3 linked regions of the Lytechinus pictus genome follow. The main gene of each other region encodes a partner of the protein of the gene in region 2 in a complex. Links are inferred from orthologs where the notes say so. Each region holds a gene or a part of one and is shown on either strand. Other genes may lie near its edges.

Evidence for each region. The genes of interacting proteins can lie anywhere in the genome.
Region 1: phosphatidylinositol N-acetylglucosaminyltransferase subunit Q-like (region 2) and phosphatidylinositol N-acetylglucosaminyltransferase subunit C-like share a complex: the UniProt entries of both Homo sapiens proteins name them as parts of the glycosylphosphatidylinositol-N-acetylglucosaminyltransferase (GPI-GnT) complex. The link is inferred for Lytechinus pictus from reciprocal best matches to the Homo sapiens genes PIGQ and PIGC.
Region 3: phosphatidylinositol N-acetylglucosaminyltransferase subunit Q-like (region 2) and phosphatidylinositol N-acetylglucosaminyltransferase subunit H-like share a complex: the UniProt entries of both Homo sapiens proteins name them as parts of the glycosylphosphatidylinositol-N-acetylglucosaminyltransferase (GPI-GnT) complex. The link is inferred for Lytechinus pictus from reciprocal best matches to the Homo sapiens genes PIGQ and PIGH.

Annotation. Positions count from the first base shown.
Region 1 is NC_087259.1:10,793,579-10,801,616, reverse strand, and holds the start of phosphatidylinositol N-acetylglucosaminyltransferase subunit C-like, read right to left. Parts: upstream 3,008-8,038; 5' UTR 2,924-3,007; intron 1-2,923. UniProt on the Homo sapiens protein: Part of the glycosylphosphatidylinositol-N-acetylglucosaminyltransferase (GPI-GnT) complex that catalyzes the transfer of N-acetylglucosamine from UDP-N-acetylglucosamine to phosphatidylinositol and participates in the first step of GPI biosynthesis.
Region 2 is NC_087254.1:10,567,142-10,574,959, reverse strand, and holds the start of phosphatidylinositol N-acetylglucosaminyltransferase subunit Q-like, read right to left. Parts: upstream 3,136-7,818; 5' UTR 3,097-3,135; coding exon 2,973-3,096; intron 2,113-2,972; coding exon 1,341-2,112; intron 1-1,340. Other genes in the region: trichohyalin-like, read right to left, coding at 5,027-7,599. UniProt on the Homo sapiens protein: Part of the glycosylphosphatidylinositol-N-acetylglucosaminyltransferase (GPI-GnT) complex that catalyzes the transfer of N-acetylglucosamine from UDP-N-acetylglucosamine to phosphatidylinositol and participates in the first step of GPI biosynthesis.
Region 3 is NC_087251.1:13,833,342-13,841,326, reverse strand, and holds the start of phosphatidylinositol N-acetylglucosaminyltransferase subunit H-like, read right to left. Parts: upstream 3,008-7,985; 5' UTR 2,896-3,007; exon of another isoform or gene 2,710-2,895; intron 2,657-2,709; 5' UTR 2,529-2,656; coding exon 2,289-2,528; intron 1,478-2,288; coding exon 1,405-1,477; intron 718-1,404; coding exon 590-717; intron 1-589. Other genes in the region: centromere-associated protein E-like, read left to right, coding at 3,227-3,287, 5,934-6,019. UniProt on the Homo sapiens protein: Part of the glycosylphosphatidylinositol-N-acetylglucosaminyltransferase (GPI-GnT) complex that catalyzes the transfer of N-acetylglucosamine from UDP-N-acetylglucosamine to phosphatidylinositol and participates in the first step of GPI biosynthesis.

The DNA of each region.
Region 1 (8,038 bases), on a different chromosome or scaffold from region 2:
TAGCTTTTATCCAGCCGGCCGCGCCGGCCGGCTGGCGTGAGCTTTGCATGCTTCAAGCAGCTGTGAGTCAGCAGTCTATTCAGACTCAGGGAGCTGCAATACGAAATGTTGCAGCTAAGAAATCTTCCACAGAACTGTGAAAATCCAAGTCAAAGTCACATTTTACACCAATGAAAAGCCCTTCTACAGACCTTTTTGCCAAAATCTGGTGTATCCTGATTATTTTCAAGCATTTAAAAGAGGAATCATGACCTCTCTTTTGACTCAAAAAGACCGATTTCCAAATGAAAATAATGCACATAAAAACACATAGGTGAGTACATCACAGTCCCACGTGTTCATTTGAATTGTATGTATGTTGTTACTTGGTTTCTTTCGAAGCTGTGCCTTTTCCGGTCTTTTCTAGCCAAAAATAAACAGACAGTTACTTTCTTTCTTGTTTATAAATGACTTCTTAAACAACTCTTGAGAAAGTAAATACTTTGGGAAGGCATTTCATTAATATGAAATGTGAATTTTTCCAACATTTTGGCAAATATAGGGAAGGAATTTTCTCGCACTTTTTTTTTGCCGTTTTATTATTTTCTTTCATTTTTTTGACAGTGGTTAAAAAACCATTTAAACCCATTTATTAATTTTCAATGTTTTTCTTTATATTTTTCGGGCCACCAAACTTTAATATCGGGCCACCAAAAAAAATTATTTGAAGGTTTTGGTGGCCCGAACGGGCCACCACCAAAAAAAGTTAATGTGGAGCCTTGTCTACTGTAACCGTGGGAAATCCTAGCCTCAGAGAGGAATGATCCCCAGGCCCAGGCTTCATGCGGGAGTAAGCCTACGTATAGTAGATGAAGTTTTACTCCCCAGAAGCCTCCAGGCTAGCTCTTCTCAAAGATATATTTTCTCTGAAAAGATTCTTCGTCTCGAACACACATTTTTAATTGCTGAAAAATCTACCAATCCGTCGTTATTTCTTTGGAATGTCTCCTTTTGTAAAACATGATGTTCTTGCGGGATGCAGCAAGAAATAATTATTGCAGACGGACAAATATAGCATGCAACAATAAGTTACAATAGCCCCCCACCTCTTGTAAATTTTATTGTATTTTCCAAGGAAGTTAAGAGAACACAAAGATAAGAGAATTTTCAGAATACCTTGTAGTTGTAACTCGATATTTTATCTTGCGCACAGACATAATATGCGCCGATTATATATACACGCATCAATATATCTCTGACATCATACGCGCTCAGTGAAAGTTACAAGAAAAGTTAAGACAATTTTCGGAAAACGGATTTTAATTTTTATTGTAACTCTGTCTCTAGTCTAAAAAAGATAGGCTACAACTAGTATAGTGAGTGATTGTATTACCGACCGGCCTTGTATTACCGAACGCGCGCATCATACGCATCAGAAAAAAATTCATACATTCAAAATTTCGCAACATTCTTCCAAAGAGAACTTGAATAGAAAGATGATGAAAAATGGTCAAAAACTCATTTTCAAAGTCTTATTTCTCTTAATATTCTAAAAACAATAAAATTTGGTCAAAATAACTCATCAGTGATTTTGTTGTTTTCTCAACTTTTCCCATAGAAAACACGCGTTCGGTAATACGATACCTTTTTCAAGTGACCAAAATATTTCACATGCGAAGAGGGGTCCGATTGGAAGCAAAAATCGTAAAAAGGAAAAACGATTTCGGCAAAAATTTTACATATTTATATTTTGTAGGTAATTGTGTATTTATGGTGAAAGTTTGGTGAATTTTACGAGAATAATGTGCTTGATATGATTGAATTCATGAAAAGTGTTCGGTAATACGATCCACTACCATACAAGTTAACTTATACAAGAATATTATTTCTCTTACTTAGACTTAAGACAATTTTCAGAATACGGCCCGGGAAATGTGATCGAGAGAATTGCTATCAGCTATGACATTTGCAAACAATTACTGGGAGGAAAATTTGCTGGAAGTCTGCAAGTGCGAAACTGCATTTGCGCCGGTCGAGCTAAGCCTAAGGCTAAGTTAGGCCTCACACAGTCAGTGCAATTTTGCCAGCCCTGGACCCGCGCAGCCGCTAGCCGCGTGCTAACCCAGAGAGCTCCAGCCCGCGTAGCGGGCTGGAGCCCAGACGCGCAGTGTACAAACGGGCATTCAGGTGAGAGTACCGTGAAGTTTGGTCAATATCATTTACATAATACATAATTTAAACAGAAATTAAGCACTTACCACGATTGTATGGATGATAGTCTAACGAGTGGCAGTTTCCTGACATCGAGGCACAGACTGGAACCTCAAAAAACGATCAGTTCTGTCGCGGTGGCTCTCCTTCTTTCAAAATTCATAGCAAAATGGCCGTTCGAGAGGGTGTAGGGCGCATGCGCGAATTTGACAAAGTCTATATGCGCTAGTGCTATACTAGCCTCGGTCTCGATCGGCCATTTTGTGTTGAATTCTGAAAGAGGAGAGCTACCGCGACAGAACTGATCGTTTTTTGAGGTTCCAGTCTGTGCCTCGATGTCAGGAAACTGCCACTCGTTAGACTATCATCCATACAATCGTGGTAAGTGCTTAATTTCTGTTTAAATTATGTATTATGTAAATGATATTGACCAAACTTCACGGTACTCTCACCTGAATGCCCGTTTGTACACTGCGCGTCTGGGCTCCAGCCCGCTACGCGGGCTGGAGCTCTCTGGGTTAGCCGCGTGCCAACTTGGCCTAATCCCTGGGGGCCTCAGCAAAGCTGCCCTGCTCGAGCGTGGGCCTGAATTGCAATTGCGCGATCACAGTTGAGTAGGGTCTGCGCGGTGGTAGTTATTGGAATTTTTAATCTATTCTAATCTAAACCTACATTACATCCAAATTGTGAAACATTTCAACTCTCTATACCTACTTTCACAGTACATACTTACCGCAGACAGTGATTTACAACGTGAAAAATAGTCCAGCTCTTTCGGTCGGCATACTCGGCCTCCCGTCCATATGCTATGGTCTCCTCAGCGAGAAAACATTCAGGGGGAAAAAAATCGAAATAAAATGCGACCTTTCTTGACAAAAATATAAATAAAATATAACCCAGAAGGAAAAACCAGTAAGACCAGTAAGAATTTTTACTGGTTTCCAGTATAATTTTACTGGTTTCCAGTATATTTTTACTGGGCCAGTTGATTTTTAACTGGACCAGTAAAAATCAACTGGAGACCAGTTCCAACAATTGCATTCCAGTTGAAACAAAGTAGTAATACCAGTTAAATTGTTTTTCATCAAACTGGTGTTACTGGTCCAATAAATGGTTTCCAGTAGATTTTTACTGGTTTTCAGTATATGTTTACTGGACCAGTTGATTTTTAACTGGACCAGTAAGAATCAACTGGAGACCAGTTCAAACAATTGCATTCCAGTTGAAGCAAAGTAGTAATACCAGTTTAATTGTTTTTCATCAAACTGGTGTTACTGGTCCAATAAATGACTTTATTTCAAGTTAGATCATTTGACGAATTATGGAAAATGAATCTTGCAATTCAGAGAAAGTTATTATCGTTATCATTTATCATTGTTATCATCATTCTTATAATTATCATTATCATTATTATTATTATTATGATCATTGTTATCATTCTTAATACTGTTATCATTGTTATTGATATTGTAATTATTATTAATATTATCATACTTATCAAGTATTAACATTATCATTAGAATAATTATTTCCTTTTGGCTTTAATTATGATTAAGATCAAAGCAAGATATATTCCCGTCATATAGTCAACTGGTCTAAAGTAATGCATTGTTTGAAATTGAACTGGTCAAGACCAGTAATACCAGTAATTCTGATGATGCTGATCACATGGTTTACCTCATTTGCATATTTCCTATTTTTAACAGAAAAATCAGGATTTAGAATGGAATATCCTTGCAATAGCACTCTTTGTTGTTTAAAAACTTTCTTAAAAAGTGTGTGAACTAATTCACAATGAAAATGTGTAATTTCATATATCAGCAGAAAGATTAATTTACTAACCATCTTTTCCATCACATTTCACTGACCAGGGTATATAACAAACCAAATGCATGTAATAAATTGATCCAGTAAGACCAGTACGAAGACCAGTTCGACCAGTTCGAGGACCAGTCAGACCAGTAGAAAATACCAATAAAGACCAGCTTGAATTGGATACCAGTATGAAGACCAGTAACAATCACCAGAAACAAGACCAGTATAAACTTCCAGTAATTCAAGACCAGTTTAATTTTTAACTGGACCAGTATGACCAGTATGACCAGTTAGACCAGTAAACCGATGTTCCAATTTCCAGAGTTACCAGTTAAAATTCTACTGGTCTAACTGGTCCAGTGGAACTGGTTTTTCCTTCTGGGAAGGTGGTGAGTACGGGTGAGTATCTCCGGAAAATTTGGTTGGTATGTTGTTACAAAAATATATCATTAGGCCTTGAAGCTCCCAATTATTTCTTCTACATTCAATCAAGTAGGCTACTAGTACTAGCTTGTGTGGGATATTGTTATTCAATTCTGACAAGTTAAATATTAATAGATGTGCAAGCTGCCCCCCCCCCCCCCTAGTGGAGTTCACCGGGAAAATAAAACAAACGGGAAAAAGACAAAAAAGGGGAGAAATAAGGAAAGGGCAAGGAAGTGAAAATAAAGAGGAACAGGGGGAAAGGAAAGGGAAAGGGGAAAAGGAAAGGGGAAAAGGAAATTAGGGAAAGGGAAAATAAAACTAAGGAAAAAAAATAAAAAGGGAAAACGGAAAGAAAACGAGGAAAAGAAGAAAAGAAGAACATGTGTGAAAGATAAAAAGCGGGAAATGGAGGTAGAATGGAATGAGCCAAAATCTAAATTGGAAAATAAAGAAAAGGGACAAGATAAAACTACCGGGATGCCGAGGATTGACGATATAATTATCATCATAAACTTGCTAAATCTCCAAAGCTACCGGGGGCTCTGTCCAAGATCCCGTGCAATGGGGGCTCTTCATCTGTAACCTGTAACCTTTATAAGGGCTCTATACAGCATTATATACGGGCAATACGGCCCCTGTATGAACCCTTCCTGCATTGAACTTTGCGTTTAAGCACTGGCGTACCGGGGGTTCCACAGCCAATGGGAAATAAAAGAAAATAAAGGAGGCAGCGAAATGAGACGAATGAAAAAAAATATACGACATGATATTTGCTATGATGTAAAAATCTATCACATAATTAGAATTTCATTTCAAATAAAAGCCATTTTTCTTTCTGGCTCGCTTCGCTCGCTGGCGACTGTACAAATTTTCCCACATTTGCTATGGTGTGTCCCCTCAAAATATTTACGCAACTGCATTGAATTTATGTGTTGTGTGAAAGCTATATAGATAAACACGCAATATGATTAAAATTAGTGGCCATCTGTAAGGTTTAAAATGGCTTTAATATCAAGAGGTTCCGGGTCTCCGCCCCGGATCCCACCCACGTAGTTGCTCTGTTGTATGGATGAGTTTGGACCATGGCCCCCAAAAGTTCTACAACCAAAACAAACAGCAAAAAGGGAGGAAAGACAGAAAAGCAAAGGAAAAGTGTATTATATTTTTCTGAATATCACGTCAAAATCTAGTGTTAGATTCTCATGAAAAGGTGATTTTTTTTTTATCTCGCTCGCTCGGTACTTTAATATATTAAGCTACTATAATTGCCACACGCGCCATACTGGGCCCCCTTTGAGCATATAGAGCTTCGCCCTGATGCGCACAATCATAACAAAATTCCTATTCACCGTGGCGTACAAAAAAGGGAGAAGGGAGAAATATGATATTATCTTTTTTAACATTATGTAAAATATCTATCACAAAATTTGATTTTTGTTATAAAAATGTCAAAATTTCGCTCGCTCGCATTTTTATTTTTTGCCCGATACACCATATCACCCCCTCAAAATTTTTGCCTCATGCCTGTTCCATGATATGACCGGGAAATTTTTGGCTCTTGCCCCCCCCCCCCCCCCCCCCCCCCCACCTGGCCACCAACCCCTGTTACGCCCCTGACTGTTTAGTGTCAAAAATATAAAGCTGAATTGTCGATCGTCTTTAAGAAATTTCCCGCTTTCGTTAGCGCAGTTTGACCCAGCATCATCACAAGAAAGGTCAATTCTGGCACCTGCTTGTGTAGGCTTCCACTGCGAGAGCAAATTTAATGGCGTTTCAAAACTCAACTGTGTTCAATATCGCATTCGTATTGCCGAAGGTCATAAAATCTGAGCTGATCGCGTTTACAAACACAAAGTCCTTTTCAACGTTTAAATTTTCCACTGAATCGTGATTTGAAAGACGTTTACTTTTATAAACGGGGATGGAGGAAACATCGAACACACCCTTTGTTTTCTCACTATATCCGCGTTTTGTAATTACTTTTTCAATCATGATTCATTCTGCCGTTTGAATTTGGAAACCGACATATTGTACACACCCTTACTATCTTACGGTGTCACGTCTTCAAACAAAAACCCATTTTAAACAGATCAGAGCAATTATTTCTTTATAAATGAAAACAATATTCCTATGCATGGTGATCGATAAAAAGATAATTCTAAGATCGTTATAAATTATGATATCATAAGCTAAAACATGCATGTCAGCAGTCTCACGATCCCATCTTCAATTATGGAAAATGTGCTGTTTAAATATATGATTTGTATTTTTTGTGTTCAATTCACAAGTTCAGGACTGGGATAATTATATATACATACATATCAGGGGCCGCGGAAGCCGGGGGGGGGGGGGCTTCAGCCCCCCTCCTTTTTTTCCAAAATCGTGTACAAAAACGTAAAAATTACCATATGATTGTGATTGTTTGCATGGTAAGCCCCCACTTTGATTTTATATATATATATATATATATATATATATATATTTTTTTTTTTTTTTTATCTTAGTGTAATCCTTCTGTTCTGTACCCTTTGTTACACATTATTTACTTTGTTGTTATTACGATTTTATTTGTATGGTTTTGTTCTATTTTGTTTGTTTCAATGCATTATAGGCCTGATGAAGGCCCCACTGGCCGAAAGCTCGCAATAAAAGAGATACTTGGAAGCTACGTCTAGCGTTAATGCTTGATTTATTTACGCCTATATATATATATATATATATATATATATATATATATATATATATATATATATATATAAATGTGTAAAGTTATACATGTACAACAGCTTTGGCAACTCTTTTATTTAAATATTGTAAAGAAATGGATGAAGAGAACAATGGTAGGCGTAGCTTAAATCAAGGTTCCCCAGAGCTATCTACCCTTTGGAAAAATTGGTGATGCCGAAAAAATGTCTCTGCCGGGAATCGAACCCGGGCCCCCAGCTTTGAACGCCGGTGCCTTAACCACTAGACCACAGAGACGGGTTAGTGGCTAGGGCGACCCCGATCCGACTGACCGTCAGATAGACAGATTTTCGACACTATACCAATTATAATTTCCTTTGTCGGGTGAAGGTGGGTTTCGAGCAATGACAAGCCGCCATGCTTCAGCTGGATCAAAGCTATTGCTTTGATACAGTACACGGGTTCGATTCCCGGCAGAGACATTTTTTCGGCATCACCAATTTTTCCAAAGGGTAGATAGCTCTGGGGAACCTTGATTTAAGCTACGCCTACCATTGTTCTCTTCATCCATTTCTTTACAATATATATATATATATATATATATATATATATATATATGTATATGTATATATATATCTCTAAAAACATTTTCATGTCTAAAGAAGATAGCTTAGCGAGCTAATAGCCTATGTAGGCTATCTTTATTCAATATTAAGCTGCATTTGGGTTGCTCTTTGTTGCGGTTTGGAGCTGTATAGATATATCATGTTCATTTCATTTCATTTCGTTTATTTACATTTCCAACATTTACAATAATGACTTGGTTTCAATGTAGCAGTTTGGGGCAGGCACAATCGTGATTATACGGCAATCTAAATTTCCATTTTGACGATCGGACGAACAGCAAGAAAAGGGTGCATTG
Region 2 (7,818 bases):
CACTTTCCAAGATATATTTTGATTATGTTATATTATGCTTTGATTTACTCCCACATAAATTATTGGAATATTGCTTGGTCAAATAATCATGATTATTTTATGACTAAAAAGCTGTACGAATTTTATCTAATTCACCGTATAATGCCCACTCCTTGCCAATATTTTCTAAGCTGACAAATATGACAAATAAATTGAATGTTGCCATATTTATGTTTATGTTGTCTAAAGGCATTTTACCTACTCTGATAGCATCTAAATTTGTCCTTAATTGTAATGTACATAAGTATACTACACGCGATGCTGTAGAATACCATATTCCTTAAGTCAGAACTAATTTTTCAAAGAATACTGTATTTTATAGCGGTCCTCATCTTTGGAGTACTATTCCAAACCATCTTAAGAATCAACTTTCTGTTTTACAGTAAACGTTCCTTTCAATTATTTTTATTAAACTTGTACTCAGTAACTTGATATTATACATGAATGTTTACGACTTTGACTTTTTCACTTTTTCATTTTTGTCCCCCCCCCCCCTTTCTTACTATATCTTACTTACTATCATGTGGAATAAGTGACCAAAGTGATTCCTTTTGTAAGCAAATCTTTATCATCTTTACCGTCTGTACATTATCATTATAATATACCAAGCATGTTATCTGAAAAAGTTATGACCACACATGTGTGTTCTAAAATGAATTTCAAAAATATTAACTAGGCAAATATAAGGCAGGTTACATGTACCCTGAAGAAAATGGCAATTATCAAAAACATGACAAGCAATCTTGTGGGGCGTTGCAAGAAACTTGTGATTGATTGCAAGTCTATTGTTGGTCCCTAAATCAATCATATGTCTTGTAATTAATTGTAGATTTGTGATTGATTGCTAAACTGCTTCTTGAAACAATTTGCTACAGTTGAAATTGATCTATTAATTTTAAAATTGCAACAGCTATTGATTGCAACATAATATTTGCAATTGATTGAAAATATTTTCTTGCAACACCCTGTTGGACGTTTACAGAGGCAGAACTTATCATAAATCAAGCCAACAGAAAAAAAATGTGACATCACAGCTGTATTCATCCCACAACTGGTTGTCAACAGCTCAAAATAGCCCAAGCTTTTTCAGATCACGTTTATAGTGCTTGCCTCTAACTTACTGATACCTACCTACTATAGAACAGGGATTTTTTTCACTTTCTGTAACAAAATACTGTGACATCACTAATTCTAACATTTTTATACTACAGCACAGCACTATCTCGAAGAAGAAACAGGAAAATACAAAAATGAAATAGAGATTCAACTACCATTTCATGTTGTGTATTGCAGGTAATCACCTTGTTTCCTTGATACTGTCCAAGCAGTAAAACAGAGATCTCATGAATAAGACTGGCAAGATAAAACAAATCTCACAGATTTGACTGCATATACGAAATCCTTTACTACTGGAGTTTCTTTGTAAACATGACATGGGTATATTGGGAGGAGACGCCGGAAGTGCATTCTTAGAAAAGTGACGGACAGCTGAAAATAAGAAGTCCACTGCCTCACATTGGTGGGTTATGGGTTTCTTATGTTCCTTCAACATGGAAGGCGTGGATCCATGAGAATCATTCTTCGCTGAATCTGCACCCCGCTTGCTATCGTCTAAACAGACGTACTGGGCGTTTAGTATATGATAATCATTGAACAGTACGAAGAGAATGCGAATGTTCCCTGGACCGCCTACATGTTGCCAAGGTGATCGGACGATCCTACAAGCCGGAATCTCATTGTGATGTTTTTGTGTCATTTCAACGATGCAGCCGATGTGACGACTCTTCTCGTCTGTATCTGGTCTCGGGTCTCTGCTCACGTTCTCATATATACCGATGACAGGGAGATTAATCTCCAGTTCTGGAGCATGATCATCTTCAGATGGATGGACGATGGCTAAAACACACATGCACCGTTTGTCCGGGTGTGTGGTTCCAAGGCACAACCCACTCCTTGCATTCAACAAGCTTTCAGGGAAGAAGATTTTGAGTACAGCAGTCCCCTCCATACTTCTTCCAGTCCGAGATGCATCCAAACAATTCAAATTTCCATTTAAATCCCACAGTGCAGGCTCTGTAGTAAAAAACAAAACAATCAAAGAAAATAATAATGTTATTAGATTAATCTTTTTATACTTATACAACATAAAACAGTCTTTTCCAATATTTGGTCATTTGCTAAAGCATGTGGTTTCACTTTTTATTCCTCAAGTGACCGATTGTCACAGGAAATGAAGTTTACTTGTATGTACGTAAGATTCAAATTAAATTAAAGAAACATTGAAAACAATTTTACATTTGGGCAAATAGCATGCAGAAGCAGATTCTAAATCTAGATCTAGACCTCTATATGAAATTGCTTTAAAATCATTACTCTCTTAAAATTAGCTGAAGAAAGGAGTCGGAGTGTCAGAAATGTTCCTTCCTGATTTCGGTTGTACTTGTAGGCCTAAACTAAAGCTACATCATCATCATCTACTAGTCTACGGTCTCTGTTATGTTAGTCGTTCCGCTGAACTCCGTTGGCTCCACTCACCAAATAGAGAGACCGAAATTCTAGCTCGATCGGTATATACAGGGACTCAATGGCCATACATGTATTAAGTTCGGATAAAACAGGGAAGTGAAGTTGCACGACAGCCGAAGTAAGTCACTGTTTTTTCCCCTTTTTTTGTTTATTTTTGGTGCAATTCAGGCCAAAACGGAATATTATTATCTTTACTTTGGTCATGTTGGTACAGTTCATTTTAAATATTTTTATGAAATAAAGACAAAAATCGATGAGCCCCGTCGGGAGGATTTTGCATTGTTAACCCCCTAATGGTGGCTGCACGATAGCGAGCCGTCTGATCGAGGAGAAATTAAAAAAAATATAAAAATGTTTAAAAACTCCTCGAAACATTAAACAGACAGCTGCCAGCTGTCTAGAAACACCATGTTGTTGTTGTTGTGGGTCGTTTCCACACCCAAATGATCTCCTCGGTATACTCTCAGTGTGTCTGTCACAAGGTTGATGAGCTGCTAGTGCTTGTTGGTAGTATTTGCTTAGAAACACCATTGCTTTTTTTTTAGCCCAGTCCCACTCATAAACATTTGTGTTAGTGAACATTAGAAGAGAAGGGAGTAACATTTTCTGGGGATCTAAATAAATTTCTGACATGCCCATTTGTATACCATTTTCATCACAAAGTCTGCCACAAATTCATTAGTAATTTAATTATTACTTACAATCAAAGATAAATACTTGGTCGAATTTCAGACTGTTGAACATGGTCCTGAACTTAGTCTTAGTTACAGCGTCTCGAATGACACAAAATTTTCACGCAATATTGAGCACTCGTCATTCATCCCTATAGTCTATTCATCCCCATTCGCATTCGAGTCTCTATGTGGCAACTAACATGTCACAGAAAAAAATCTATATTCAGATTCTCTGCACCTTTGATCTGAACTCTGAGAACACAAACAAATAAAAATAATAATAATACCCCCTTTTAAAACTTAATGGAAATAAGATGAGGTTATATAAAGGCTAATAAAATTTCCCCAATAAGTGGTACTCTTTATTGTGTGAAAATGATATACTGTATATTGGGGAAAATAATTTCGTAATATATTGCTGGCCAGCGAAGATTGCCCATTTCACCATTATGTAAGTGTGTTTAAAATAAAGCCGTTTAATTGTTCCATAATTAACTATTGGTCATACGAATCAAACTCATATTTTATTCTTAAAGCTAATAGGGCCTATTCTATGAAAACAATATAGTACTCTTGCCAGCTCTTAATTGTTAGATCACACCGGCTTATAGATGTTAGTATCCCCTAAGCCCTCTTATCAAGAAGAAAAAAAAATCATGTTATTATTCATGCTTTTAGCTTTATTTTTGTTACACACATACACTGCATCTATAGGTTCGATCCATATAATGTAATTTATGTAGTTTTGTAATATGTTTCATTTGTTCACTTTGTCTTATTACGTATTATATTTATAACGATCTCTATGATTCTATTTGTCATTTACATCATCAATATACCTGGCAAAATGAAAATGAAATATTCTAGAGAATATTAATTTAAAATGCTACCTAATTTGGAATCTTATCGATAGGTAATTCTCTTACTCTGGTTATGTTTATTTTTCTCCTTTTTGACATCTTGTTCTTTTGCTATTCAGAAGTGTACGTCGTTTTTGTTAAATACACCCCCTAAACTTGTAATTCTATTTCTTCTATTGTTCCACCAGAATAGGGCCTATATTTAAAAAAATACATTCATGCGAATTGCATATACTATTTTAGAGCATATACTGGGTCAGGGATCGGAATAATTAGCTAAGGCGGAAAAGAGATCCCCTTCCTATCGCCCTCTTCCTGCTCTTCCCCTTCCTTATTATTTTTTCGTTCTTTCTTTCTTCCTTCCTTCTTTTTCTTTCTTTCTTTTTTCTTTCTTTCTTTCTTTCTTTCTTTCTTTCTTTCTTTCTTTCTTTCTTTCTTTCTTTCTTTCTTTCTTTCTTTCTTTCTTTCTTTCTTTCTTTCTTTCTTTCTCTCTCTCTCTTTTTTTCTTTCTTTATTCATTTTCTTTCTTTCTTCCTTCTTTCCTTCCTTCCTCAATTTCTTCCTTCCTTCCTTTCTTCCTTCCTTCCTTCATTTCTTCCTTCCTTCCCACCTTCCTTCCTTCCTTCTCTCTTTCGTCTCTTCTCAGTTAAAAAAAGAAGAGGCTTTCACATTGGCTAATGATTTCCACTTTACATTTATTTTCAATTTAATTACATAACAATATTATCACATTGTGCATGATAAATAAAGGCATAAATATATAATTGAATAGCAACAGTCTTGATTTGGTGCTGGGTAAGATAAGAGCCCGGGAATAATTTTGCTCTTGCCAGAATGCTGAAGTTTTCGATAACATACGATGGTCTTGATATTGTCTGTTTGATCCCCCCTCCCTTTCCCTCGTAAGTGGCTTTTTGCAGGACAGTTTCAGAAACAGCATAGTAATTTATGCCACCATTTTTTCCTCCTCTTAGTATGATGTTCCTCGACCAAGTCATTTTCTCTATCCCTGTCCATATCTTCCTCCACAAGTTGAAGTTCGCAATGCTTCTTATCTTCACAGTGATTCTGCCCCTTAGGATTGTCCCCTTCCAGCATCTCAACCTCCTCGGTTTGACCCCGCTTGACTTCCTCTTTCACCTGTACCTCTCCCAGCTTTCTCACTTCACATTGTTCCTCTACGGCAGATGAGTCGTTCATATCATCCTCCTCCTCCTCCTCCTCCTCCTTCTCTTCCTCTTCATCCGCCTCCTCCTCCTCCTGTTGCTCTTGCTGCTGATGCTGCTCCTCCTTCTCCTCCTCTCTTTTATTCTGTTGTTGCTCCTCCTCCTCATCTTCCTCTCCCTTATCCTGCTGCTGTTGCTGCTCCTCCACCTCTTTCTTATCCTCCTCCTCCTCACCCTGTTGTTGCTGCTGCTGCTGCTGCTCCTTTATCTCCTCCTCCTCATCATCTTCTCCCTTATCCTCTTTCCCCTGCTGCTGCTGCAGCTGCTCCTCCTCTTCCTGTTGCTGCTGCTGCTCCTCCTCCTCCTTCCCCTCTCCCTTATCCTCCTCCTGCTGCTGCTTCTCCTTATCCTCCTTCTGCTGCTGCTGCTCCTCCTCTCCTTTATCCTCCTCTTGCTGCTGCTTCTCCTTATCCTCCTTCTGCTGCTGCTGCTTCTCCTTATCCTCCTTCTGCTGCTGCTGCTCCTCCTCTCCCTTATCCCCCTTCTGCTGCTGCTCCTCCTCTCCCTCCTCCTCCTTCTGCTGCTCCTCCTCCTCCTCTCCCTTATCCTCCTTCTGCTGCTGCTGCTTCTCCTCTCCCCTATCCTCCTCCTCCTGCTGCTTCTCCTTATCCTCCTTCTGCTGCTTCTCCTCCTCCTCCTCACCTCCCTTATCCTCCTTCTGCTGCTGCTTCTCCTTATCCTCCTCCTGCTGCTGCTCCTCCTCCGCTCCCTTATCCTCCTGCTGCTGCTCCTCCTCTCCCTTATCCTCCTGCTGCTCCTCCTCCTCCTCCTCCTCTCCCTTATCCCCCTTCTGCTGCTGCTCCTCCTCTCCCTCCTCCTCCTTCAGCTGCTCCTCCTCCTCCTCTCCCTTATCCTCCTTCTGCTGCTGCTGCTCCTCCTCATCTCCCTTATCCTCCTCCTGCTGCTGCTTATCCTTATCCTCCTTCTGCTGCTTCTCCTCCTCCTCACCTCCCTTATCCTCCTTCTGTTGCTGCTTCTCCTTATCCTCCTTTTGCTGCTGCTGCTCCTCCTCCTCTCTCTTATCCTGCTGCTGTTGCTGCTCCTCCACCTCTTTCTTATCCTCCTCCTCCTCCTCACCCTGTTGCTGCTGCTGCTGCTCCTTTATCTCCTCCTCATCATCATCTTCTCCCTTATCCTCTTTCCCCTGCTGCTGCTGCTGCAGCTGCTCCTCCTCTTCCTGTTGTTGCTGCTGCTGCTGCTCCTCCTCCTCCTTCCCCTCTCCCTTATCCTCCTCCTGCTGCTGTTTCTCCTTATCCTCTCCCTTATCCTCCTTCTGCTGCTGCTGCTGCTCCTCCTCTCCCTTATCCTCCTCTTGCTGCTGCTTCTCCTTATCCTCCTTCTGCTGCTCCTCCTCCCCCTTATCCTCCTGCTGCTGCTCCTCCTCCTCCTCTCCCTTATCCTGCTGCTGTTGATGCTCCTCCACCTCTTTCTTATCCTCTGCCTCCTCCCCCTGTTGCTGTTGCTGCTGCTCCTTTATCTCCTCCTCCACATCATCTTCTCCCTTATCCTCTTTCCCCTGCTGCTGCTGCAGCTGCTCCTCCTCTTCCAGTTGCTGCTGCTGCAGCTCCTCCTCCTTCCCCTCTCCCTTATCCTCCTCCTGCTGCTGCTTCTCCTTATCCTCTCCCTTATCCTCCTTCTGCTGCTGCTGCTCCTCCTCTCCCTTATCCTCCTGCTGCTGCTGCTCCTCCTCTCCCTTATCCCCCTCTTGCTGCTGCTTCTCCTTATCCTCTCCCTTATCCTCCTTCTGCTGCTGCTGCTCCTCCTCTCCCTTATCCTCCTGCTGCTGCTGCTCCTCCTCCTCTCCCTTATCCTCCGCCTGCTGCTGCTTCTCCTTATCCTCCTCCTGCTGCTGCTCCTCCTCCGCTCCCTTATCCTCCTGCTGCTGCTCCTCCTCTCCCTTATCCTCCTGCTGCTCCTCCTCCTCTCTCTTATCCCCCTTCTGCTGCTGCTCCTCCTCTCCCTCCTCCTCCTTCTGCTGCTCCTGCTCCTCCTCCTCTCCCTTATCCTCCTTCTGCTGCTCCTCCTCCTCTCCCCTATCCTCCTCCTGCTGCTGCTTCTCCTTATCCTCCTTCTGCTGCTTCTCCTCCTCCTCACCTCCCTTATCCTCCTTCTGCTGCTGCTTCTCCTTATCCTCCTTCTGCTGCTGCTGCTGCTCCTCCTCCTCTCTCTTATCCTCCTGCTGATGCTGCTCCTCCTCTCCCTTATCCTCCCCTTCCTGTTGCTGCTGCTGTTCCTCCTCTCCCTTTCCTCCTCCTTCTGCTGATGCTCCTCCTCCTGTCCCTTATCCTCCTCCTTCTGCTCATCCTCCGCTCCCTTATCCTCCTCTAGTTGCTGCTGCTGCTCCTGCTCCTCCTCTAGCTCCTGATCCTCCTCCATCTCCTCCTCAGCCCCCGTCATTGCCGAAGATTCACTGGATGACCTCATCAATGATGCTTGCTCCTTCAGCATGTGAATAAAGTCATCTATCTGTTCAACATTTATGTCGTTCAAATA
Region 3 (7,985 bases), on a different chromosome or scaffold from region 2:
TAACAACTACAGGCGCGGACCGGCTACAGTCAGACTATTATGGGACGCAAATTTGTCCGAAAAGCAAAAAAAACACACAAAAAACACAAAAGGTCCTTGTTCCATTGTACAGGGTGCACAATGAAGGAATTGTATGGGGTCCACCATTGTATTTTCAAATTTTACGGGGTGCGCCCGCAGCTGCTGCCACCCCCCCTCCTGGATCTGTGCCTGAAAAACTGTAATACTTCATGTCTCTTTTTATTTGTTATCTTGGAAATAAAACCTGAACTTGGGCAGTATTTTTCACTTGCAATTTGAAGAAAGTTACCACTTGACATACAATGTAAAGATAGGTGAGTCTGCCTAAGTCTTCTTGGGACCACAGACATAGTCCTGCATTGCTGTACAAATGCAAAACTATCAAAATGATTAATTGCACAGGTTACACAACACTTTATAAGGAGGGATTGTTATCATGGCACAAGAGTCAGTAACCCTTGGTAGGAGGGAAATCGCTGATGATGTTTAAGTGATATAACACTGTCCATCGATTCTCAAGTCAGCCTGGCTTTAAAAACACTCAAGTGATAAATAAGAAATCACTCACCATTGTTACAGCTTCATGGATAACAATGTCTTGAACTGCCCTGAAAGGAATAAACTGGGTGACTCTGCGTCCTGTGACATACTCCGAAGATATTTGCAACCCAAGGGAAGATATCAGAAGCAGTGTTTCTACAAATCAAGGTGGAAACAATACAGTACATCAAAATATTCAAAAGATAGTCAATTCAATGAGTGAGGATTACAAAATGAGATTATCAAGAACAAAGTGTACTTAAACACTCTAGAAAAATGATCTTAAAAAATAGGCCTAGAGTTTACAAATATGGAATTAAATTAAAATGTTATTTCTAATGAAGATTACAGAAATAAAAAAATTAAAAATACAGTAAAAATTGAGAATCGAAACCAAAAAAATATTCACAATGTATTATAATTGGTAATTTTATGTATGTTTCATTTTGTTTGATTTTAATCCATTCAGTCTGGTAAAATATATAGTTCTGTTCATTTCTGTATCACCTCAGTTCAGATTTCATGAGGTATTATTGGTACAATTTATCTGATTACCCTATGTTGTATGCAGGTTCTTCTCATGTCTCCCTCAGTCCTTTCCTATTAGGCCTACACACCAACACACATAACTTCTCCGAATTCTAATTTCAATCCATTTTATTTTGTCTTCTGAGTTCTTGCATTGTTTGCTGCTCTTTAGTTGTAGCTTTTATCACTCTATTTATGATTCACCAGTTTTATTACTTCTTAAGTTTTACTTTGTCATTCAGCTCCCCACATCAATGAACTGTTACTTTTAGAAAAAAATCATCACATGTAAGGTCAAGGACTTGTTAGTTTTACCTTTTGAAACTGAAGAATGAATGTACAGAAAGAACAGAACACTAATCATGATAGCGAGAACTGCATTCCAGAACTGTAAAAGAAAATTGGATTTAAAATAATCTTATTTGGGTAAAAGATTTAATAAATCATAACATTCATGAAAATCATTCCATGGAAATTATTCATTCTATACAGTAATCATATCTATTTAACTAAACATGATCTTCTCATCAAGCTTTCCAAATTTGACTCACAATATAGGCTAAAGGTATTATTAGTCTCAAACACTGTCATTTCAGTAAAGTTTCTATTTGCGACAAAATTTCGGTGTTTCATAATCAAAATGAAAGCTTCAACAAAAGCGATAGAGGCTGATGAGTGACAATGCCAAGAGCGACCCGGATCCCGAAACCAGGAAATTTGGAAAGTGAACAAGACCATGGAAGTAGAAAGACAAGACCCTACATTTCGGCTGACCATATTTTGCACCTAACTTCATCATTTTCATTTTACTTTCCATTTTTCATTTCATTTATGAAATGTTTCATACGACGTACACATATTACATTGTAGAATCTATTTCACATTCAATTAATCACAACTTTTACCAACAAAGTTAATACATCACTTTAATTTAGGGGGAGCTGGAGGGGACATAGCCATAGGCTGTTACTAAATTAGTGATGTAGAAAGAGCTAGATAATTTAGATTATCATCATGCAAATCACATTCAAATGCATGGTGATTCTTTTTAAACAAATTATGACTATATTTCATCTTTTTATTTAACCATTAACAGACATGACAGAGCCGCCTCGATTTACTTTCATTTTTGCGTTCATAAAAATTAAAATATAAACATTTTATTCAACAATAAACAAGCCCTGTCTTAATATACTCACCAAAACCGTGAGTCCTACTGCTGACATAAAGAAGAAAATATGCAATAGACCCCCTATATGACAACTTGGTTTTGACTGTTTTGCAGTCACAGATATTTCACAGACAAGCTGGTCATCTTTCCATTTCACACCTCCTTCATGTCCTTGGCCTTTCCTCAACAAGCCCTGGCCTAATAATTGCACATCCTCCTTCACATTTTGGGCATGGTAGAAATCATTCTTCAAATCTGTATCCATCATTATGTTAAAGGGCCGTCATCACCGCAAATTGACGTCGGATGAAACACAATTTGATCTAACTTAGAATTTAGATCTAGACAAATTTGAAGCCAGCACTAACTTCGTATGTGAATGTATATGCAAGTCGTCTGTCTTATTTTATACAAATAATGCATGCAGCCGAGTGCGTTAGTGGAAATGCAGAGCACGCGAGGTTTCTTTAGATAGGAGTCGCACTGTGCACGAGCCGCTTGCGGCGAGTGCCCAGTGTGCTCCATCTGAAGAAACCGAGCTTTCTCTGCATTTACTTTTACGCACGACAGAGCAAGTGCATTATTTGTTTTATAAAATAGCAACACAGAAACAATTTTTTTAAAAGTTACAGTACAGTTTTGTTGGACTTCTACCGCACTGGTTTGCTCGAGCGTGCAATGTCAATTTTCGTTGCACACCTTTTGCACTACCGTGCAGTGCACAAAAAAAGTTGGATGTCATGTGACGCGTATTGACCAATCGCGATGCTTGAAATAATACAGCTATTTTATAAACACAGATATCAGTACGTGGGATGGGACTGAACAAAATACTTCCGCTATGCTGCCCTCTGTAGTTGTTTACTTGCACCCCAGGCAACGGGAAACTCTTCGCGACCTACCGTACTCCAAAGTCCAAGTCCAACACGGTTTTTTTAAAACAGGATCCAGAGAAATTTGGCCAAAATGTCTGCCAGCACGGAAATGCCAGGAGTGAATGCTGCACTCCAGCGTCTTCAAGAATTAGGTTATTATTTAATTTGGATTACATTTGGGTTTGATGGGTTTTTATTTATTGCCCGGCCCGGCCCCTGCGGTTATACTATAGGCTATAGCCTACGCCGTATCGTACCATCGAATGGAACCCGGTACCATACCGGGAATTCACGTACACACACCCCGAAGCTCTGGCGGCCGGGCCCGGTCATGCCTAGACAGCTGGCAGCCGTCTGTTTCGAGGAGTTTTTTTTATTTACATTTAATTTTTTTTTTTAATTTCTCCTCGTACACAGACGGCTCGCTATCGTGCAGCCACCATTAGGGGGTTAACAATGCAATGCAAAATCCCCCCGACGGGGCTCATCGATTTTTTTCTTTATTTCATAAAAATATAGGGCCTAGCCCTAGGGCTAGGCCTAGAATAAGATAAGAACTGTAGGCCTAGCCCTAGGCCTAACTTAACTAGACCTACCAAAATAAAGATGATGATTGATTAATTATTCCGTTTTGGCCTGAAATGCACAAAAACGGGGGAAAAAACATTGACTTTGGCTGTCGTGCAACTTCACTTTCCTGTTTTATCCGAACTTAATAGTAATACATAAACATATGGCCATTGAGTCCCCTGTACAGATCGAGCTAGAACTTCGTCTTCGGTCTCTGTATTTTGGTGAGTGGAGCCAACGGAGTTCAGCGGAACAACCAACATAACAGAGACCGAAGCTTTTGACTGTTCTAGGTCATGCCTAACCCAGGGAGCTCCGGGCCAGAGCTCCCTCAGGCCTGTTGCATGAAAGGGTCTTTCGTAGAACCGTTCTACGTAAGAACTAAGAGTAAGAACGAGATATCGCTCAACTGTTTCACAAAGCCGATTTGGGCGATACGAAGAATGGTCCTTGACCTTAGAAAGACACCTCCAGACATGTCCTACGTAGGCATGATCGACTTTGCACACCGCCCGCCACCGTCAGCATTGAGAGAAAATGCGTTTACGGCAAGCCACACTGACATATCACATTTAAACATTTTTGGGGGTCATTCGATTGCACTCTGATGCATTTTATCTGGGATGGCGCCAAGTTATTTTTATGGGGGCTGTCATTAATTTCATGGCAAAACGGATGTCATTTTAACTTCTCCGGGGTAATTTAGGCCCATAAGGGGCCTCATATATAATATTTAAAAAAAATGTGTTTTCTTTTATTTTCTCACATTTTCTCCCTCTTTTCCCCACACCTTTTCCATTTTTTATTCAACCAAACTTGAAATATCGAAATGGCCGGCAATCTCTCTGACCCCTCATGCTTTATCATAAGATAAACAACATGAAAACAAATTTTTTTAAAAGAAATCATGTATGGTAAAGAAAACATGTTTATATAACGTTCAGGAAAAAACGCGATACAATACTAAGATCAGTAAGATGTTACTAAACATGCTAAATCATTTATCTATTTTCATTTTATTTTCATAATCATTATTATTTCTCACCTCTTTTTTGTACTTCCCTTTCTTTTCTGGTATGACAGGTTCCCCCAAGTCTGTGCAGTCCCCCTTTGTCTGCACATACGCATACCTGCGCGATTCTATTTCTAGTAAAAGAAGATACGCAACAAACACAAGCTATACATATGCAAATGCAATACATAGACAGACATTCATTAAAAAATACGACTCAAAATAGTGGAAAAATAATGAACTTTGGGCATTTGATTTCAATGGTAATTTCATGTGACGGCCTCAAAATGCAGCTGTTGTCATCAAAATCCCTGGATCCCATGCAAAGTGAATGGGTGCGCAGACATGGGGCACCATTTTTTTGTTGAATCTGAAAATGATTGACTGAGGTTTTTCCCGAGAAAATCATATATTTCTTTCAAATTTTTATGAGATTTTTGGCACACTTCCTCATAATAATATAAGGAACGTTATCAACCTAAAGATTTTGTGAAATAAAAAGAAGTTCATGTTAAATCTTAACTCAACTCTTAGGTGTGCAGACTTGGGGACAACCATCATACTCCCCCACCTCCACCAGGAGGCTCCTAGAGAGAAAAAATCACTAACGTGTGCTTATTCTCCACAGAGCCAGGGATTGTGCCCCATTCATGTGCGTATACTGCGGTCAACGTTGCAATTTTCGCCCCGAAGATTTCTACCTTCCCTGTAAAAGATCTAGCCCTAAATTATGCATGGGATACATGTAGAACTTCATTTCCGACATTCAAAGAATGTTGATTTCATTTTTAAGCAAATATTCATTAAAAAAAACCACCAAGAATTATATTTTGAGAAGACGGGGGAAAAACTTGCCAATGTTTACGTAGCCATCTGAAGACAAGACTGGGGATCGGGGAGCACATTATTTACAAGTGATAAAAAGTACATGGATGACGATTTTAATATAAAAACACCTTTCTCTAATTTGTGGTAAATTTTCCAAAGATTATTGGCCAAGAGCAAGAAGCTTAAATACTAATGGCAATGCGAGGTTTGAGTTAAACTTGTAGCTGCCATATGGGAATGGTGACAGAGATTTGCAAGATGGCAGTTTATGTGATGATTGGACCCAGAGTGTTGATGGAAGACAGCCATGATAACTGACATGTATTTGATCTCTAGGTAGATGTATCTTTTTAATTTATTGTGTTATGCTTTTTGCTTACTTTGATAGCTGAACGGATGAAGAGTGAAGAATTTGGCTTCAGAGATAATGATATTACAATGATTGACGGAGTATCAGAAGCTATCAAAGAATTGGTAAGAATTTCATATCAACCTTTGCCAAACCCCCACAATTTTCATAATAAATCTATCATTTGGTGAGGTTTACCTTACGTTTTCTAGGTCAATTTAATTTAATTCTAGGGTTTTGTTGTTCCTGGAGTTTGTTCTTTTCATCATCATTGTAACCTCCATTGTCATACAATTCTTACCACCTTTGTTATCTGATCATTGCCACCATTGTCATCTGATCATCATCATCGTCGTCATCATCATCATATTCATGATTAGTAAGTAATCACCTATATCCAGGGTTGGGCTCAATTACTTTCTTCAATTACAATTGCAATTTCGTAATTGAAGATATGCTAAATTTACAATTACAATTCAATTACTTTCTATAAGTCATAAATCAGATCAATTCATATTTTGTATGTAGCGCCACCCATTTTGTGCACTTCTTTATAGCAATAGCATCTCCTCTTTCCTCCCTATCATGGGAAAGGATACAGTTTCATGCAAGAGAGCACTATATAGCTAAGGGAAAAGAGAAATAAGCAATCCAGAGTAAATTGAATAATAAATTAAGTTATAATGTAATTGAATGTAATTAAAAGTAATTGACAGTAATTTGAGTCAATTACAATTTTTCAATTACAATTACGTTCTCCTAAAAAATTTCAATTACAAATTACTCTACAAATTAAATTGCTCCAAAAATGTAATTAATTACGTAATTCATCAATTACTTTGTAATTGAGCCAAACCCTGCCTATATCACCATTAGGTCACAATGATCATCTAATTGTTGTTCTGCAAACTCATTATATTGCCAGAATAAAGTACCACAAGGAACTAACATTATCCTGTATCTAACCTGCTGTTTACAATCGTTTCAATATTAATGTTAGCGATTGATTGTACCCTTGATTTTTATTTATAGATTGTACATTGTTGTCAATGCACACAATCATAAAGACATTGTTCTGCAATGATTGTTGAGCTTTGTGTTACAGGCCCATAATGGCCATTCTCCCTTACCATTTTATGATCTCCAATTTAGGGTTTAGCAACAAATAAACTATGATTCATGATTCATAGAGTTCTTGTTTTCAAATCAATCATCAAACCCTTGTTTCAATAAAAGATATTAATATACAGCCCAACAAAGTGTAATAGCCATTTAAAATCTAGTATTTGTGTTTGAACATGGGTGATATGAAAAAAATGTGTTTAAATCAAACAGCATTAACTTCCCTTAGGGGTTCAATCATTATGGTATTCTTTGTAGCTAGGTTGATGGCATATTTACATTATTGCAATATGTATTACAAGTGGTTTCTCCACCATCTCACTGTCACCCCCTCATCTCTGCCACTTCTCTCTCTCTCTCTGCTGTCTCTGCCTCTCTGCTTTTGTCCCTTCATCTCTCTGTTTCTCTGTACATCTCTTCTCTCAGTTCCTGTATCTCCCCCTTTATATACCTCCTCTCTCTCTCTCTCCCTCTATTTGTCTCTTTGGCTGTTTCTCTTTCACCCTCTCTCTTCTCTCTTCTCTTTCTCTCTCTCTGTCTCTTATCCTTTTCTAACTCTCACTTCCTCCATTCCCCATACTCTGTGCTCTCTTGATTATTATACCTGTCCCCCTCTTATTTTAATTGATTACAATCAATCATCATGATCCCTGAATGACATTGGCAGAAAATTCATTTATTTTAACCATTCGGGAGCAATATCAAAGGTCCCAATATAAAAAGATGGCATCAAAGGATAATCATCTTTGATATCATATAAATTGCCTCTTAGTCACATCAGTTATTTCAATAAAACAGTTGAAAGGAGTTAAGGACAGCTCTAATATATTGCAAGCAAGAGCACCATTTTAGATTTTCTGTGAGCACTGTATACTGTCATTATGTTATGAGAATCAGTCAGTGGATATGTGGACTCTAAGATCCTACAAATTTATTGGCATCAAATGTCAAAACTTATCAGAAAGAAAT